Linked DNA regions of Drosophila melanogaster. The protein of the gene in region 2 interacts with the protein of the main gene of each other region in a pairwise test. Each region holds a gene or a part of one and is shown on either strand. Other genes may lie near its edges.

Evidence for each region.
Region 1: the proteins of CG14853 (region 2) and Cpr50Ca interact in a two-hybrid assay, tested with the Drosophila melanogaster proteins (one large-scale study listed by BioGRID).
Region 3: the proteins of CG14853 (region 2) and CG6287 interact in a two-hybrid assay, tested with the Drosophila melanogaster proteins (one large-scale study listed by BioGRID).
Region 4: the proteins of CG14853 (region 2) and morgue interact in a two-hybrid assay, tested with the Drosophila melanogaster proteins (one large-scale study listed by BioGRID).

Annotation. Positions count from the first base shown.
Region 1 is NT_033778.4:13,768,169-13,772,915, reverse strand, and holds the start of Cpr50Ca (cuticular protein 50Ca), read right to left. Parts: upstream 3,002-4,747; 5' UTR 2,943-3,001; intron 2,151-2,942; 5' UTR 1,942-2,150; coding exon 1,900-1,941; intron 1-1,899.
Region 2 is NT_033777.3:14,608,125-14,612,683, forward strand, and holds the start of CG14853 (uncharacterized protein), read left to right. Parts: upstream 1-1,517; 5' UTR 1,518-1,983; intron 1,984-4,559.
Region 3 is NT_033779.5:11,150,971-11,157,431, reverse strand, and holds CG6287 (uncharacterized protein), read left to right. Parts: upstream 1-1,710; 5' UTR 1,711-1,830; coding exon 1,831-1,914; intron 1,915-2,298; coding exon 2,299-2,349; intron 2,350-3,867; coding exon 3,868-4,022; intron 4,023-4,877; coding exon 4,878-5,097; intron 5,098-5,160; coding exon 5,161-5,293; intron 5,294-5,405; coding exon 5,406-5,761; 3' UTR 5,762-5,926; downstream 5,927-6,461.
Region 4 is NT_033779.5:4,442,315-4,446,281, reverse strand, and holds morgue (modifier of rpr and grim, ubiquitously expressed), read left to right. Parts: upstream 1-1,601; 5' UTR 1,602-1,674; coding exon 1,675-1,818; intron 1,819-1,880; coding exon 1,881-3,212; 3' UTR 3,213-3,412; downstream 3,413-3,967. Other genes in the region: Elp3 (elongator complex protein 3), read right to left, coding at 1-170, 224-1,089, 1,146-1,387, 1,450-1,471; CG15432 (uncharacterized protein), read right to left, coding at 3,428-3,784.

The DNA.
Region 1 (4,747 bases), on a different chromosome or scaffold from region 2:
TGGGACACGCGCTAGATTCGTTTGAAAACTCAATGCAAAGAAGCGATAAAAATTGTTGCTATTTGCGTTCGTTTCAGTTTGCTCAGTCGGATTTTATGGCATTAGAAGTGCTGCGAAAACTAGTTAACAATTCCTTTACGATCCGCTAAGAGAGGCAAAAGGAGCGAAACTACTACTTCAACTTCTACTCCTACTTCTAATACTACTATCTGCATGGCGTTTTAAAAGTTTTCTTTTGTTTTGACATTATTTGGGAAATTGAAACTGTAATATTTGCAGCGAGAGCTGCGAGAGCTAAAGTTTGATTAAATTACGTTTTTACCATTTGGCTTTCGAGTTTTACAGCTGTTTACAAGTTGTATTTATTGTACTGGCAGTTTAAAAGTGCTGAACTGGCTTTTATTGTACTCGGTTTATTTTTTCAAGACAAATAACCAATAATAAAAGTCAGCATGGCATGGAGGTGATAAACTTGTAAAAGCAATTCAATTAGTTTTGATCATCTTCTGGCTTCTTAGTTACAAGGGAATCAACATCTCAGTGGGCAAACAGAAGGTGTTTTTTGTATCAGCATTCAATTAGTTTTAGAAAAATCATTTATTTTGTGGAAATTCGTTTTGGGTTAATATAAACTAAATCACTATCTTTTGTTTGATTTGATTAAGTTTTGGATTCGTGTATGTTTTTATTTATTTATAATTTTTTCTCTAAAGTTCCATGTCTTTAACCCAATCAATACAAACACATTCCCTCTGGACTTTATTGTTCTCGTTCGCTTTCTTTCATGTCGAGCAGGTTGCTTCATTAAATGGTTTCTGTAATTGCTGTTTGGCCACAAGTTTGTTTAATTGTTGGCTGCAATATGCGCTTACGGCATCGTCTCTTGTTGTATGCAACAAGCCGGAAAAACGTGCCACCCAGACGAGTGGTATGGTGTGGAGTGGAGTGGGCCAAGACCCAGGGCCAAGACTAAGTTCCAGACCAAGAGCAAGACCAAGACGGAGAGCGAGTCGAGACAGCAGAAGAAATGGTAGCAGGCAGGCAAAAGGCACAGCTTGGGCTAATTGTTAATGTGGCAGTGAGATGTGGGTGGTGCAACGTGGGTAGTTACCAACTGCAGTGGCCGTGGCAGTTAGAACCAGTTTGGTCTTTTTTGCCCTGGCCAAAAACCGGCGGCAAAGTCAAGTTCAATGCACATAAAAGACTTTACGGGTCTAGAAAGTGCTGGGGGTACGAGTGCTTCCTGGGCCACAAGGAAACTTGGCTGAAAAGAAATGCCAGCAATGGTCGCAAACTTTTTTTTTTTTTTTTCCATCCACTTAAATTGCAAATTTCCAGTTTCGATTGCAAATGCTGCTGGTGCATTTTCCTTTCGTCCCGGCAGTTGGATATGGATTCCAATGTCGATTCGGTTAGATAACCACAGCGGGCCTTCATAAAGACCGGGGTCATAAAATGGAGAGCGTTTTGGCCAAAAAGCACAAACAATCAATGCCAGTTGCATAACGAATTTTTGAGCAAAGATACTTTGGAATACGCTTTATGATTTTAATGCCTGGTAATTAAACGAAGTCTGGCCAGTATTCGCTGGTTTCCGGGCTAATTGAAGTTCAAGTGCAATGAAAATAAATTGCTTGCGAAATGTGCGTGCGCCAGGAAAATGAGAAGAAGCCCGCCATATGCAGTGACTGGCCGCGTCCATTTCCTGGCCAGAAAATGAAAATCGCTGCATCGAAGGCCGACACTTTTCCCAGGCCCACGCCCAGAAATTTCGCTCGAAGTCTCTCCACTGGCGCTTGTTGTTTTCACGCCTCGATGGCCCTTGCAGTTGTCGGTTATTTATATTAAAATTTCAGAATGATGAACCCGACCCGAAACGAACCGACCCCATGTACTTACCATTAAGGTGGGGATGCCACCGCCGCAGATAGCCATTTCCATTTTCCTTGGATGTCGGCGGAAGTTCGGGCAAATGAGGCGTCAAGTTGCACGTTGCACTTTTCGCGTTTCCACAAAAGTGGCAGCTCAATTTGTAATTGTTGTTGAAATTTCTGTTATTCTCCCACGCTGTTTTTCGCCGTCTTGGTATTTTAAATACAAATTGTAAATGAGTTTGTTCAGCGTTGAACCTTATTGTTTGTTTGTCGGACCTGGAAAAGTATTCGTTCAGTTTGGTTAACTATCACAGCAGCTAATTGCGAAAAGTGCTTTTCAAATTCTCATATTAACTGTTTTAAACATTTCCCCATAATTATGAAACATCATAATTAACAAATTAGTAAAACAAAAATCATTATATGGTACTTTAACAGATGACACATCTGCAAAGGCTGTGTTAAATGAGTACTTTTTAAAACTATGAAGGCAGAAAAATAGTATCCTGCGATTTCAAAAATTCCTGTTCTTAGAAAATCAAATGAATGACAAATGAATGAATTATGTTTAATGAGAATTATTTCTGATCTTATATTCTTTACCAAAATCTTTTTCATTAGTAACTAAGAGATTTTTGAGATAAAACAAGACCATAAAATCTAATTTAACAAATTTAACTATCTAACTAATCGTTTTCGTTATTCGTCCTTAGATGTTTCACTTATAAGTTTCACTTTTGTCATTCAGTAAAATATTCATTAATTTGCTCGACGTTTAACTTGATGCGTTTATATTTTTTTGATTTAATTTATTTTAAGGTATATTATATCCTTGTTAGCCAGCACTTTGGTTAAATGTAATGCAAGCTCTTTATATTTTTTTTTTTTTTACAAAATGATTTTCTCATATCCTTTGCGGAGAAAAGCAAACTTTGACTATATTCATTCAACTTTGTCTTTGAGCTTTGTTTAAACTTGCTCGTCGCAGTCCTCGTTCGTTTCTCATTTATTTAATGCGACTTTTAATTTGAGTTTTCGTTTCGTTTCGTTTCGCTTTGCCTTGTTTACTTTTGGCTGGAAAAACTGTGGAGGAAAACCGCACGCTTGCGCGCTGCTGTTGCAACTGTGCCTCGAATTTTCGCGCCACTTGAGTTTTGTGTGTGTTCGGGGCCGCGCAGTTTTCACGGAGACAGCCGGTTTGTTGTTGGCTCGCTTTTCGCTGCCTCGCTTTTCCCATTTTCCATTTCCATTCCTTTGCCTTTGCCGAAAAGACTCGGCCATGTCTGGCGTATTGCTGTTGCATTTTCCATATTTTTTCTCCTCCTTCTTTTTTTTTTGAATTTTATTTTTTTATGTGTGGGGCATAATAAGCTGCTGATTAAATTTGCAACGCTCAGAAGGAAGTCGAATTTGCAATTTATTCGGGGAAATTCATTTGCATTCCAAATCTGTGGGGATAAATGGAAATTAGACAGGTGCTACGATGCCAAAAATGATTTTACCTATATTAATTGTTACATTTTTTATAAATTCCAATGATTAAGAGTTTATTAAAGTTGTCTTTATATTTGATATATATATTCTTCAAACAGAGCATTTCTTTTTCGACTTTTGAAAATTGAAAACCTCACCACTCACTTGATATTTGTCTTTTAGCTGGCTGCATTTCGAGCTGCTTTTTTGGCCATGGCTTTGGCCAAGGCGTTAGCCAACTTTTGACCATCAACATTTGCACAATATGCGCTGTTGCTGTGCTGATGACAACGAAATGTACAAGTTTTCCTACCATCTGTGTGCATTTTTCTTTATTTTTTACGAGGGCTTAGAGTGCGTGCGTCTGGGGATAAAACTGAGCTCAGTGCCGTCATGGTTGTATAATTAATTTATTAATGGCAACAAGTGAAATGCACTGCCACGCATTTCCTATAAGGCTTGGCCCAGCCTGATTATGTGATTTATAGGAACTTATATATTTATAAGTTTGATATTGATATTTATATTTGATTTATAGAACTTATACCCCTTGGTTGGTGTGATGTGGTGACTGGTGGGTAAGAGAGTGCTAACCCCTGGGAAAGTTCAACTGCAGATATTATGCAACAGGCAACCGCGAGTCACGCACGCGCTGCCGCAAATGAAGTAGCTGACAAATTATCTTTATTTCATTTTATATTATTTTATTGCAGCCCATGGTGGGACTTTAAAGCGGCTTAGAGTGGCGAGGTCGGACTATCTGTTCGAGTGCATCGAAACCTGGGCCAGATGCTGAGCTGATTGGGGATTTTTGGCTATGATTGGTGGTTACCACGGGAAAGAGAGTGAGAGAGAGAGGGGGGGAGGCGGCTTTTGGCACTTTCACATTTGTTTTTGCTGGTGTTGAAATTGAGTTATTAGAGGAGAGCCATGTAAGCGACCAGGGGCGTATACTTAATATTTAAGCAAGGGGGGGGGGGGGGTAATATTCCCAGCTTACTAATGAATACATATAATTTTTATCAATTTTATAAAATCGTTTCTTTTTCATGACCAGAGCTTTCGACATCACTTTCTTTACCCCTTCCGCCGAGAGTCTTAATTCCACACCTCTGGGCACGTTCCTCGGGCAATGTGCCAACCTCCTACCGAAAGCCACATAATTGCTGTAATCGCGGTGGAGATTTGCAATCTCGTAATAAATTCAGACACCGAAGATGCGCCAGAAGTTGGAGGAGCCGCTCCCTCCGGCCGGAAACCCCCATGTGGCCACCAGATGCGTCGCCAGTTGCAGCTGCAATAGGCGGAAATCTCACACAGAAAGTTGCATTGCGGATGCAGTCATCGTCGTCGTTGTCGTCTCCCGGCTCCATCTCCATTTCCATTCCCATTTCGATCTC
Region 2 (4,559 bases):
TGGTGTGGCAGGACTTGTGGGAGGCAAAGTGTCCGTGGCGAACAGGAAATCGTGCGGAATCCCTTGCAACACGCAAAACGGGATTGCAACTGCCAACGTAAATTTCCCTTTTTTCGGAAACAAACGCAAGCTTTCATTTATGCTGACTGGAATGAGTTTTTCGCGCTTTCGCCCAAATAGAAAAGCGAAATGGAAAAGTGGAACGAGTTAAATAACACAAATGCTTGTAGATCTTTTTTCTGCTGACAATCTAATGGCCGCTTAGGGATTAATGCTAGCTGCAAAAAAAATTAGGAATAGCATTAATTCAGCTTATGACAGTCGGAAATTGTAATGGAAGTTTTTGGAGCACTGCTTAAACAAAAATTATTGCACCAATCATCCCTTGACCTTTTTGATTGTTGCAAATGTGCAAGGACCGTAGTTGAAGGACAGCACAAGCACATTTTTTCAAGAGTTCAAAATGGCATTCTTTGCATTACACATCACAATATTTAATATTCAGATTAAAAATGATATTTACTGCACCAATACCAGGGAGATTTAATTTTGTTCCTCCCCCAAAAGCATGCCACAAAAATGCTGAAAAGCGAAATGCGGAAACCTCATAGGAGTACTCAGTACCCAGCATCCATCCTCGTCGGGCTGCCTCCAGCATCCGCCACTCGAGGGCATACATGGATCCATATATGCAGTGTAGCTGAGGAACAAAAAAGAATACCATAAATGTATAAGCAAGGATTCGCACTAAGCCGGCATCTCTTAATTCACACTCAATGGGCCGCAAAAATCTCTCGCTGCGCTCCCGTTGCGTACGCTCTGCATAGTATTTTTCCCAGCTGGCTTGCCACTCGCGTTGCATGAACACCCACACTAACACTGATAAATCTATACCTTCACAAAAACACACACACACAGAGACGGAGGGCAGACAACATGGCCACAATCAGTCGGCCATCAGTCTTTGGCCTGCACCATTTCCGTATCCGCTCCGCTCTGTTGTTTGTTTTGTTTCTCTGCTGTAACACAGCGATAGAGTTACAGAGAGAGCGAGAGAGAAAGAGCTTTGTAAGAGCAGAGCTTTTATATGAAAGGTTTACAATATTCAAAATACCATTAAACTTACAAAGATGCTAACATTTAATTTTGAAATAATTTAATACATAATAAATGAATAACTAATTAGTTATAAAAAATGGGGTTGCAACAATCAGTGGCTTGTTTCATTGTATAATTCTGTATTAAAACACAGAAAAATACAATGTATTATCTAAAGTATATATATTTATAGGAACGTATGGTCATTACTGAGAAAACAAAACTCTCCAAAAAACCATTTCATTAAAAATTAGCTGAAAAGTACTTCATCATACCCCTCACTGCATACAGGGTATTCAAAAAAGTGAGAGCAAAGCGCGTTGAGAGAGAGAAAGCTGGCAAAAGAGAGCGGGAGAGAGCCGAAAGCTTTTACTTGAGCAAGGTAAAAGCGAACAAGTGTGTATAAAAAGGACATTTCGTTCAGTCGTCGACTTTGTTAATTAAGCGAAACTGCGACGCAAAAAAGCGGAACAAATTTTCTTTGGCCACAGAGAAAAACGTTTCCATTTTCCGCTGCAACAAATTATTTAAAAAGTAAAACATACTGTTTGTCGTTTACTTGCATAAAAAACAATCGTGCATCTGAAAATTGTGAATGTTAGCGCGTAACCAGTGAACCAAAATCGAAGGACGTGTTTTGTGTGTGTAAGTTTATGCAAAGAAAACACTTGCAACCATTTTTGCAGCTTCAACTGCGTAGAAGCCAAGGAAAACACACGTTAATTACATTATACCCACGCCGCAGAATCTTTGATTCGCTGAAAGTCCTGGGACTCAGTACTAATTAATCCTGGGACTTGCTGCTTCCACAGCTGGGAAAATTCCGAGAGGCTGCAAATGCATTAAGCAGGTGGACGGAACACCGCACACCGTAAATAATTGAAGGTAGGTGAAGTTGCCCTGTCAGCAGGCCAGTGAAACTGATGCCAGATTTCAACCCACATCACCGCCACGAATCCACGCATTAACCTTCGTCCTTGGCGGGAATTGTGTGCTCTTCTGGTCGGCATTTTTGTATATTTTAATTATTTATTTCTGCCACTCGAGAGCGGTTGCCACCCCAGAGTGCTGAGCACTCGAAACTTTCTGCACAGCAACACATTTTTAATGATGTGCTAAACGATCATCTCGAGGCCCATGTAAATTTTCACCTCGAAATGCGGAGCTTAACCCCTTGGGTTTTCATGCGACATATTTGTAAAATGTAGATGCTGGCAAAAGGAAATGCCCTATGGCCGAAAATAATGGAACGATGTTGTTGTCTAATTATTTTATGTTGCTTAGTTAGCTTCCAGTTTCACTGTCTAGAAATATACAAGAATTCACATTTTAGAACTACTTTCTTAAACAATTTAATCTTGTTTTACAAAAGTAATAGGCTTAAGTACGTAGAAATCTTGCCATTTGATAAAAATTATATAGATAGATAGGCATCTATTATTTTTGCCCCATAAGAAGGATAACCCTTGGGGTTATTTTTTTGTTGAGTGCAAAATTGAAACAACAAAATATATCCCCTTTATTGCCAATTGAAAATATAGAACATTATATGTGCATTCTCTTATTACTTTAATTTTGAAAAATACATTTAAAATTGAAGTGTGATGAACGCATATATTGCAGTTTAATATCAATAAACAAAAAGTCTAAAAGTGAAAAATAATTTTTGCAACACTTAAAGCGCCAAACTCTGCAGACTGGTGACTTAGTGCATATAGTATTTTCCGGGTTTGTGACAATCACTTCACTGGTTTTTTGTTTCGGGCTCTTCTTGGCTTGTCACCAGCGTCTTTGGGTCGAGTTGGCGGGCACTCATAAATATTTCAAGAAGTCAAAGCTGGGCTGTGTATGTCTTGTGTGTCCTTTTCCTAGCAAATATGTAAGCAGCCGCAACTTGTTAGCGTGTGTGCCTGTACAAACACTAGCAAACGACAGCGTTTCGGCTTCGCTTTCTGTGTCAGCCAGCGGCTTTTTCATCCTCTTCATCATCTTCTTGGCCAAGAAGACGTCGCATTGTTGCTATAATTTTAATTACCACTTGGGTGACTTTTGCGCCGTGAGTCGGTGAAAAAGAGACTCACTGTATGAGTGAATGAATGAATGAATGGCACAAGACAGGCTGCCGAGTGGAGGCTAGAAAGCATCTGAAAGACAGAGTGTGTATGTGTAGCTCGCATATATAAATTCCTGTTTAGGTATAATGCAGAACCGACAAACAAAAACCCTTGCAATACAATGCGAACAATTTCAGAGAAAAGCCGCATTGTTATGGCAAAGCCACAGGCAACTGGAAAATATTGCGCATACGCCGCGTACGGCTGCCACTCAAAGTTATGCTGCGTATGGGAAATGTTACACACAGCATAATTGCTTATTTGCCGCTTCGGTGGCGATCTAAACCATATTCGGTTTAGACACAGACGAATAGATAACCATCCCCCATCCGCCAAGTATCGATTGTAATTCATACAAAGCCAATGACCACAGCGAACCGCCCAAATGTCCGTCCTTGGGCGTTTTGTTGGCGGGTGGCAGCAAATTAAACTTTCTATAGACAAGTTTTTCGGTCTACAGAAACTTTTTCTTTGCCATATTATAATACCTAAGGAGCGATAAAATATGAGAGAAGCTTCGCAACCAAACGACGTGGCTTGAAATGGGGTTGTATTTGTTTCCATTAAAGTAGATACTTGAAATTTTAGCCATCTACAAGATTTCCCTGGCGAATATTAAAGTACTTTTAGTTTTCTAATACAAGTTTCCTACGAAAGTTTGGAAAGTTTTGGCATATTTAATGTTATGGGTTGTCAATTCAATCGACCGTCATTTTATGAGAGTACTAGTCAAAGTTTATTGAATTTTTTCGACATCCATTCCTCATATTTTCAGATTCCTTTGAAATTCTAAAGCCAATTTCTGCTGGGCTTAGAAAATAAGCATAAAAGGTCACCAAAGCTTACACAAGCCACTTTACATTGATTGGAAGAGCAAAAGTTGCGATGACTATGTAGTTAGCAGTCAAAAGCATAGGAAAGGTACTTTACCATAAGGTACTGTTACCATAATATTTGGGCAACGAATAAAAAAGACAGTTAAATGGCCAACGCTTGGCAGCCGCTCAAAGAGCCGCAAACGTAATTGCAACAGCAGCAATAGCGATAACAACGTTTTTGGGACGATCATTATAATCATGCAATTTGGCCCACGTCCTTTCAAGGACTGGACGCTTTCAGCCAAAGGAAGAAAATATTTACAAAGAATTGTTATTGCAGTTTGCTAAGTCGTTTGACTGTGCTGTCCCATGAGCATATTTATACTCTATCATAAATTCGCCTTTTATTGACAACATTTTGCCAGGCGACACCACAGAACGAAAAACAAACTTTATTCTTCAGGTTTTTGAGGTTTTTAAAGTAGCACATTCGTGAGCTTTAAATAATAACCATACTTTTGGAAGAGGG
Region 3 (6,461 bases), on a different chromosome or scaffold from region 2:
TGAAATATTACTTTTTAATACTAGCATAAAGTTAAAAACAAAACTAGATACGATCCTTTGCAGCTAAGAAGGGGACAAGCGGAAAACTTAAGTTTAAATGGTCAGTTGATGAGAAGTGTGTATGTTAGAATATTGCACATAATTCACAGAACTGGTAATTCAATATATTATAATGGTATATATTAAAAAAGATACACACATTTATAGAGCTGCATATATAAATATGTATGTATGTTCTTGCCATAATTAACAAAATTTAAACCGATAAAGATACATCAGCCGGCATTTTGTAAGCGTGAAATCCAAAAACTAATTAAAATAATATTGATTAAAAAATAACTGATTATCCCAGATATTGTTAGATACTTTCTGGTAACGGAAAGGTGAACTTTGCCATGAAAATTTCATCAGATCTGATAGGAATATGTTGAAGATATTTTGTAAGATGCCTTAAATTTCTCAACTCAAGTTCTTTGAAAGTTTTCGAAAACTAAACTTGATAAATTCATATATTCCATTACATAACCTTCTAGCAGACGGACAGAGGTCTGCAAAGAAGTAAAACTGGTTTGCTTCAAAAGTATAGCAATTTTTTTGTAATAATAAACTCTTATTTCCGATTATAATAAAACAAATGAAAACCAAACCAAGCAATTTCGATTTGTTGACACTCTTGAAAACTATAAAAAAAAAACACAAACATACAAACAAGTTTTATAGCAAGCATACTGAAACTTTAAAGATACGCCTATATATAATTAAATTTAGCGGTAATAACTTCTCTACTTTTCAAAGCCACTTAAATAAGAAAAGCAAACCTTATTTTTTTAGCCTAAATAACTTATTGAACTGGAATAGAAGGTGGAAAATTTGACAAGAGCACGCATGAAATTTCCGTAATCAATATATTATTAACCAAAGATCCCCACACCGAATACCCTGGAAAGATAAAAATGAACTATTGGTGGAAATATCAACACCGCTCCCAATTTATATAGAATATTTTATACATACAAAACATATACATATTGTAAAAAATGAGAAAAACGGTAACTAAAATCCAATCAGCAATTTTCAAAAATTGTATGTAAATAGTTAATGATATTTCAATTTGTTACCTAATTATTTTGTTAACAACTTTGTAAGATTCCTTTAATTTAATGTTAAGGATGAATACCTGCCATCACCTTGACGACATTTTGTTGTTTTCGTTTTCATTTTCCGCATTCAAATGTTGTTCACAATATGTTTTTGGAAAATACGTAGTTAAATGAAAGCTAAATTGCAAATAAAAGCAAATACAATAAAAATATTAAAAATAAATGCAGTCTTATCTATTCGGCGTGAGTTTGATTATATGGGTAAGTACTTTTTTTTGAACCCTATTAGAAAGTAAATAAATGCATAATACAATTAAAGTTAGAAAGCTTGCCATATTTTTTTACAAAAGCTGAAATTTTTAAATCATTTTTAATCACAGGGTCGTCCGTGGGTTAAAATTGTTGTTTTGCGTGCAAAAATCGAAAACAACTCACACACGCACACTCAAGAAGAACAAATCGCGCGAGAAGAAGGAGAGAACTTTAAGATCCAAGTGGCGCTCTCCGATCCTCTCAGTGGTTTGGTTATCACCCAGAAAAAACAACAATCGCACTGCACCGGCGAGAGGCATTCGAAGTCAGGTTCGATGGCCCGAGAAACCCACTCTCGAAGTCAGTTCAATTTGTTTGCTCGGCGGCGCAGATCGTGAGTTGCGGAAAGTAATTGGCAAAAATTAACGCAATCTACCGGTTGTCCAGATTTTTCAGTGTATTCATTACCCACCCAAATATGCCCCTCAATATAAGAAAAGTGCTGGTCTGCGATGCTGTGGACAAATCCTGCGTGGAGCTGCTGGAACAGCATGGGATTAAGGTAAGGTTCGCCAATCCCCTGACGTGACAGTCGATTATTTGTTGGAGTAAGCAAAAGCTTACACCCATACAAGTGCTCAAAAGTACAGTGCGCCCTCGGATAAAAATACAAATAATTAAACTAAGTATAACCACACAAAAAATGTTTTTTCGACGAAAACTAACACTAAAAAGATATTAAATATTTGAAAGTCTATGCCTACAATGCAATTCATTTAAATTAAGCTATTCGATTGCTTTTACTTATCGAGTACACACTGTATGTGAATTTGCAAGCATGTAAAAGCGCTTAGAAGTGGACAAATAGAAAATAAGTGCATTTAATTTATTGCACAATTTAATCAACGTTGTTGACCATATATTTTCCTTCTTTTTTTTTGACAAGGTTACCTACAAACTAAAGCTCCCCGTGGAGGAACTGTGTCAGGAAGTTAAGGTAAGTGGCTTAGGGATTTCAGTACAGGTAAATAAGTAAATACATACACACGTTCAGATGTATATGAACGAGTTAAGTCGCTGGGATGAAAGCTTTGCGAATGATTCAAGTGTGGTTAAAAACATGTGCAACGCTCTGAGATATGGGTGCATTGTATATGTGTGTGTACATATATGATAGTACGCGTGGGCGTTACATAATAATAACATTTCAATTAGTCTGTAACTAAGCAATCTAAGCACATCAAACCGAAAGTATATTTCAAAACTACTGCAGTATGGAGATTGTATTTAACAAAATTAAAACTAATGATAAGGAATTGACCCCTTTTTTTAACATTATCATCTTTGTTATGGAATATAGAATGTTTTTACAAATCTTATTTTCCTTGTCTCCAAACTTTAAGCCTTATTGGGTTAATGGCTAAGAGAATATTTTCACCGCAGTTATAAAGATAAAATAAACAAAAACTAGAAAAAAACATTTTGTGGCTTCTTCAAATCAAAATCAATTACTCTCATAATTTATTTAAATTTGTTTTCTCTTGCACGAAAACAGCTTTAAATTTTGACAAGCATGTTTGTCTCAATTAGTTAAACCGCTTCATGTCTGTATGGGCACGAATGCATGTTTTGAATTTTATTTGATTTAGAGACGGATACTTTTAATTGGTGATTTTATTGAATAACATAAAAGCAAATTGCAAGGGTCAGAAAATAAGTACTTGACAACAAATTTTTTTTCACGTTCGCAGAGAGAAAAAGAATTTAGTCTGAACCAAATGGTTTTTATACCCGTTAGATTCTTTGAAATTTATGTAACAGGTAGCAGGAAAGCATATAAAGTATTATATATATATTATTGATTAGATTCATTGGCCAAGTCGGTATGTCCGTCCTTCTGTCCGCCCGTCTGAACGCAAACTACCACGCCCACAATTTTGACAATTTCTATCGATATACCAAAGAATTTTTGTAATTTCGCTCGTTCGCACTCCCACAAACCAAATAACGGGTATCTGCTAGTCGAGTATCTCGACTATATTATTCTCTATTGTTCATTTTAAACTGCCCAGCATTTTAAACCACTTTTCGAAATGCACTTTCAGATTTTATTCTACAAAATAAAAAAAACTATTCCTTTTAAATGGCAATAATCTGCTGTGAACAATTGGGCCAGACATTGTTATCACCATTTATTACTATCGGTCCAATAGTTCTTATCAATCAAACGGCCGATCAGACGATGTTGCCTCAACATTAAATAAATTGTTTCCAGTAGGATCACAAATTGCCGGAAAATATCAAGAGGTTCAATAATCTTAGCCAGAAACATACATACGCCAGACGAATTGCTTTTATTTATGATAAAGTACAGGTGTTAGGTGGTATCAATCACGTTTCCAGAAGAAAGCAGTAATCGATGCCATCCAGATGGCCAGGGAAATGAGTTAGGCAATTAGATGACAAATATTTATATTTACCCAGTTGCTAATTATTAAATTACACCGCATTTCAGAATTTCGACGCAGCCATCGTTCGTTCGGATACCAAAATAACCGCGGAAGTTTTGGCCGCCGGATCCGGCAGCCTGAAGGTCGTTGGCCGTGCGGGGGCGGGTGTTGACAACATCGATGTTCCCGCAGCCACAGCGCAAAATGTCGTTGTCCTGAAGTAAGTGCTCCGTAAGCCTCCGGTGCATTGCAGGGCGGGAAAAGAGTAGCCACGAACACTATGCCACAAGACCAACTTGTATTTGTAGCTGAAAGTCTGATATAGAAAGTACAAACAGTACAAAGTACTTATTTATGGTTAATTAGAGCTCTTGCCATGCAATATATTTCATGGATATTTTACCATTCTGTTTATAGTTCAAGTTGGTAAACAATTCAATCCATTTTCGGCTCCGATTTCATTTATTTGCATTTTTAAACAGTTTCTAATTTATGGAACGAAAATATTAATTAGTTGTTCTCGGAAATGAATTTATGTAGCCCTTTATGGCAGATTTATCAATTGCGAGGAAATATTACTGTTCAGTAAAATTGTGGTAATCTCAATAATGATCATAAACATGGGTATTCAAACTAGCAGTGTTTTATGGTATGCAGCGTAGTGTAATCTCCGATGGCGCAGCTCACAAATAATTATGCGCATTCCGAATCGCAGGATTGGCAGTTGATATGCCATCCCAGCCCAGAATACCCATGACTTGGGTCAATTGACGCCGTTTGACACGCATAATTAAGGGACGACGAGTGTCGATGGAGTTGCGTGGGTGTTTGGGTGGCTATGGGTTGTGGGTGGTGGGTGCTGGGTTGGCCACATCCATGTCAGATGTCCTGGAAAGCTGGAAAATTGCCATATTTCCCACCTCCCATTCAATTCTTTTTTGGCGGAATTTGCATAATGCTGTCTAGTCACAACAAACGCCACCCATTTGCCCACCAGAAACGCTCAACTTAGCGCAACAGCTAGTGTCTAGCGAGGCATTTAGGGAATGTTTAACTAAACTCTCGTCGCTTTCAGCACTCCGGGTGGCAATTCCATTTCGGCCTGTGAGCTGACGTGCATCCTAATTGGCTCCCTGGCCCGTCCCGTCGTCCCCGCCGGTCAGAGCATGAAGGAGGGTCGCTGGGACAGGAAGCTCTATGCCGGCACAGAGCTGTATGGAAAAACCCTGGCCGTTCTCGGATTGGGACGCATTGGACGCGAGGTCGCCATTCGGATGAAGACCTGGGGCATGCGGGTGTGTTTTGAATGGGGTATTTACTTATTTTGGAATTTTAATCGAACTCTGAGTGCTTTGCAGATTATTGGTTACGATCCCATCACCACGGAGGCTGAGGCCAAGGCGGCGGGCATCGAGAAGATGACGCTGGAGGAGATTTGGCCACTGGCGGACTACATAACCGTGCACACGCCGCTGATCCCAGCCACCAGAAGTAAGTCGCGCATTGATAGAATATTTATAAGAGATTAAGAGATTAACATTTAACAGCAGTATGCATAAAATTCAAGCTAAACTATATAGATTTCTTTGCTGAATCCCATCAGATCTCATATCGGCGGAGACACTGGCCAAGTGCAAACAGGGCGTTAAGGTGGTGAATGTGGCCCGGGGCGGCATCATCGACGAGCAGGCCGTGCTCGATGGCCTTGAGAGCGGAAAAGTGGCCGGCGCGGCCTTCGACGTTTATCCCGAGGAGCCGCCAAAGTCTGCGGTCACCAAGGCCCTCATCAGTCATCCCAAGGTGGTGGCCACGCCGCATCTGGGCGCGAGCACTTCGGAGGCGCAGGTCCGTGTTGCCGTGGAGGTGGCGGAGCAGTTCATCGCCCTCAATGGAACCTCGCCGAAGTACACCAGTTATGCGGGCGTTATTAACAAGGAGGCACTCGCCCATTACCAGTGAAGCAAATCGAATATTCACAACCATCAGCACATTCTAAATTCGATATTCAGCATTTATAAATAAATAAGTTTACAACCAGGGATGTAAACAACGTAAAAACCAAAATACACAAGTAAAAATAAAAAGAAGAAGAGTTTTCTTAAAATACTCTCAGATCTAAATATTTATATATGTATATTATTATTCCTAGAAAGTTACCATTTCAAGGTATCGAAATGCTACAAGGACTTAGACGAAAGCTGACTTGTTTTCCGAATTTCGTACTACCGTTTTGTATTTTGATAAAAAAAAATCAAGGCTTTTACCAGAAAGCAAGTTTAATGTTGATTTTACATATAGCCATTCAAGGAAAAGCGGAGTTTCAGTGAACTTTCCTGCCAACTTTTGTGTGTCATAATCTTCAGCATGTGCGAATACGTTCAACTGAACCAACATTGCCAGGTGAAAGTTCATTTATGGCAAAGGCACCACTTGATATTCTTAAACAATTTAACAAATTTAAAAGAGACCAGTAGTATGATACTTATTCTGATTCAATTGCAGCAGCTTAATGGAAAAGCGCTCCATTTAAAGAAGAAATTCATAAATTCTGCAACAGAATCACACAATGGGAGCTCATATAATGGACAAAAATGTATATGGAACTGTGAATTCTTTTTCCCTGGAAATGAGGAAGATATTGGCAAATAGCAATAAAAGA
Region 4 (3,967 bases), on a different chromosome or scaffold from region 2:
CGCCATTGGCCACATAGTCCCGACGAATTAGCTCAATTTCGTAAGGGCGCACCTTGTTGTGGATTTCCTGAATGCCAACTTCGCGGGTTCTAACATCGCGGCAAGTGGTTCCAAGATCCTTCATGCGGGCCAGCGCCAGTTCACGGAGATTTCCGTGTTCCACGCCGGAACTAAAATGAAGAAAAATGTCAGGTTTATTTAATATATATATCGGACAAGTTACCTAACAAGCGGCATGGGAATGTCGCGCTGTACGCGGTACACTCGCGTCCATGGTGGTACAAGGGCCAAAATCTTCGCCACTAAGTCCACAAGCATGGATGGCGGATATGACTTATATCGCCCGGTTTTCCATAACTCGTAGAGACCAGTGCCGCGAATGACGAGCGTGGGATAGATCTTTAGGCCGTCAGAGCGGAAGGCAGGGTTCTCAAAGTACTCGATAAACTGCTCGATGTCGCGTTCAAAGTCAACATTGGGAAGATCAGGCATCATGTGCGTCACGATCTTATAGCCAGCATCCTTGCCCAGCTGGAAGCTCTCGCACACCGCTCGCACCGTGTGTCCGCGGTTCGTATCCCTGGCCACGTCTTCGTAAACCGATTGCACACCGATTTCCAGCCGGGTGCAACCATAGCTAAGCATATCCGATATGTGCCGCTTTAGGCAGTAATCTGGCCTTGTTTCTATGGTGATGCCAATGCACTTTGTGCGTGACTTCTCCGAGTAGCGTACGGCTTCCGCCACATTGGCGCTGCTGTGGCCGGAGAGGGCGTCGTGTAGGTTGCGGATAAAGTAGTCGCGGTACTCCTCCGGCAGGCACATGAACGTACCGCCCATTACGATGAACTCCACCTTGTCCACACTGTGTCCCAGCTGCTTCAGCTGTTCAACGCGGTGTCGGGTCTGAAGAAAAGGATCGTACCGCGACCGGATGGCTCGCATCGAGGTCGGCTCGTAGCCTGTGTACGACTGTGTCGAGTACTCAAAGTCGCTGTCCGGTCCGCCGGGACAATAGACGCATATATTGCCGGTCATATTGATGTGCGGACAACGATGCGGCTTGCACATGACGGCGACCACGGCGATCTGGATTGAAATAATTGAAATGAATAGTACGCCTTGTGTAAGCAAGTGCGACTTACGCCACTTGCTGTGCGAATGGGCTTTGCCCTCAGCTTTGGAAGCAGAATTTTTTTGGCGTCCTGCGGCACGGCAGCAATTATGTCGACCAGGCGCGGCGAACTGTCCAGTCCATATTTGGAGGCCACCAATGATTTCATCCGATTAAGGTTTACATCCTTTTTGGCTTCGTGCGCCTTCAGCAGCTCCTGAATGATCTCCCCGATGACGAGCACCTGTCGTTCCTGGCGGCTCAATCCCACGCCTGAAATAATTGGCGGGGTAAACGGACGTTTAAAGAATTACTTTCGTAGCGACGTTACCTACCCAACTTCTTTTTTGCCTTCATTTTGCTGATGAATATCACATAAACTGCACGTGTGAAGTTAGCAGCACTTGTTTTGATTCGGTTATCGACCGACCAATAGTCCGATAACCACAACACTGTTTGACAGGTTTTGAAGCTAACACCACTTGGTAACACTTTTAGATGGTCTATCGTTTGTCGATTATTTATTTGTTTTAGCACCAGTTTCTCGGGAGTTCTGTAAAATGACTAGCTGCGTGCCAGCGCATCAGCAAAAGGACCAGGAGCAGTTGCTAAAGGAACTGGCCAGCAGTGGCGACGAGATGGACGACCCGGACGATCCGGACCAGGAACACCACCAGCTGGTAGAGCCGACCTTCTCTTTTTCGGTATGTATACAATAGGCTAGTTTCTTGCGGGCCGATTAATAAATAGCCTTTCCAATTTGCAGAATAGTAACACCTGCTGGGTGTGCAACGGCTACTATGGGCCCAACTTCGGGGAGCCGTTGTGCGGCGCCTGCCACGCCTTCCTGTACAACGCACAGCGGGCGGAGGAGCTGCTCACGGAGCTTTCCGATGACGAGGATTCTGGGAACGACGAGCCGCCGTTCAAGGACAAGCAGGAAGACGAGGAGACCGAAAACGACGTAGACATCATGGGCTTTGAGGATCTGGAGGACCCCCAACCGGCAGCCGTGCCACAACATCCAAATCCGCAGCCACCAATGGAGCCACAGGATCAACAGCCAGCCCAACCAGTTATAGATCTGCCACAGCCGGTGCCGGAGGCTGCGGCACCACGACGCGAGTCTCCGGAGCGCGACTTTGAGCACGAGAGAGCCATTAATCCCTTCCTGCTGCCCATTAAGCGTCCGCGGGCCACGGCTCCCTTGGCTCTGCCCCATTACATGCATGAGCTGGCCGATGGAAGGGCGCGAGTGCATGAATACAACGCCGCCAGCGGAAGCGGAGCAAGTGGCAGCAGCAGAAACATTGTCAACATAATACCCGTCGAGGTGATGCTGAAAATATTTGCCTATTTGGACGACATGTCGCTGTGGATGGCTAGTGAAGTTTGCAAGCAATGGCACGACATTGTCGGGAAAAACACGGCCCAGAGCATGTGGAAGGCGTATATCAAGCAGCGCTGGCCGCTGTTCGACAGTTTGGCAGACAATCCAAACTGGTATCGGCTGTACGGGGCACTGATGTCTTCCTGCTTCTGTCGCACTTGCCTGATTGAGATGGGCGGTCGGGGTCAGGATGCACAGGAGGCAGATCCACAGCTGGGCGATCGGGAGCCGGGCAATGTAATGCGCAACAACTTTCTGCGCGGTGAAGCCAATCTGCTGAACAGCTACGAATCTGAGGGCATATCGGCCATACCGTTGGATCGGCAAAACAACTACTGGCAGGCGACAATTCTGGGGCCACCGGGCAGTCCCTACGAAGGCGGCAAGTTCTTCCTGTTCATATACTTCCCGGAGCGATATCCGATGACGCCGCCCACAGTACGTTTCCTCACCAAAATCCTGCATCCGAATGTTTCGCGGCATGGGGACGTGGGCATCGACATCTTCCAGCAGCACAACTGGTCTCTGGCGCTGAACGTGGCCAAGGTGCTGCTTTCTGTGCAGAGCCTGCTGACCGATCCGTATACCGAAGTCTGCATGGAGCCTGAACTTGGATACATCTATGAGCACGAGCGCGAAAGGTTCGAGCAACTGGTGCGCGCGTGGACATGGAAGTACGCCATGTACGAGCTAATTGCACCGCGCTAGAAGATCAAAAGCCCTCCAAGGACAATGGACTGAAAGTTGGAAACTACCCCTCTTTACGTTGTAACTACATATGCCTGTGTATTTAGCTTAGTTGTGCCATCTGGATTGTTTATTTTGGCCTCCCCTCTCACTTTTCCTGCGCTCCAGGTTGAAACGTAGTCGAAATTACTTAACCTTATAATAAATGTATGCTTTAAGTTACGAGCGGCGTCGCCTCACTTCGTCCAGGACACCTTGGGGATGTCAAAGTGCTCGGTGAGCGTGTCCAGGTGCTCGTTGAATTTCTCCACGCGCTCCTTGTGGGTGGTTTGTGCCTTGTCCATGATTCGCTTGTTGCGCATCTTTTCCTGCTGCTTCTTACTGGCCAGCTCGGCCTTGGTGAGCTTCCGCTCGTAGCCACTGGTGGCGGAGGAGGATGTGGCCCCCGATTCCGCTATTTGCTGCTCCACGAACGCCTTCTGCAGCTCCTTCTCCTTGTCCTTGCCCTTGTGCTTCTTCTTTTTCTTCTTGAGATCCGAATCGTTCTTTAGTTTAAGCTTGCCCTTGGCCACGCAGGCGTACTCGTCGGACATGTCTTTAATGGGTTTTCAATCTGGAAATGGATTGGTAATGAATCCGATCTGTTTACGTTTTTCTTGTTTTTGTTTACACCAACTGCACGTTGTTATCTTTACATAATTTCTGATATTCGATGTTATTACCTGACCAGAAATATATCGATGGCATTTTATCGAATACATTTGAAATGTTACAAA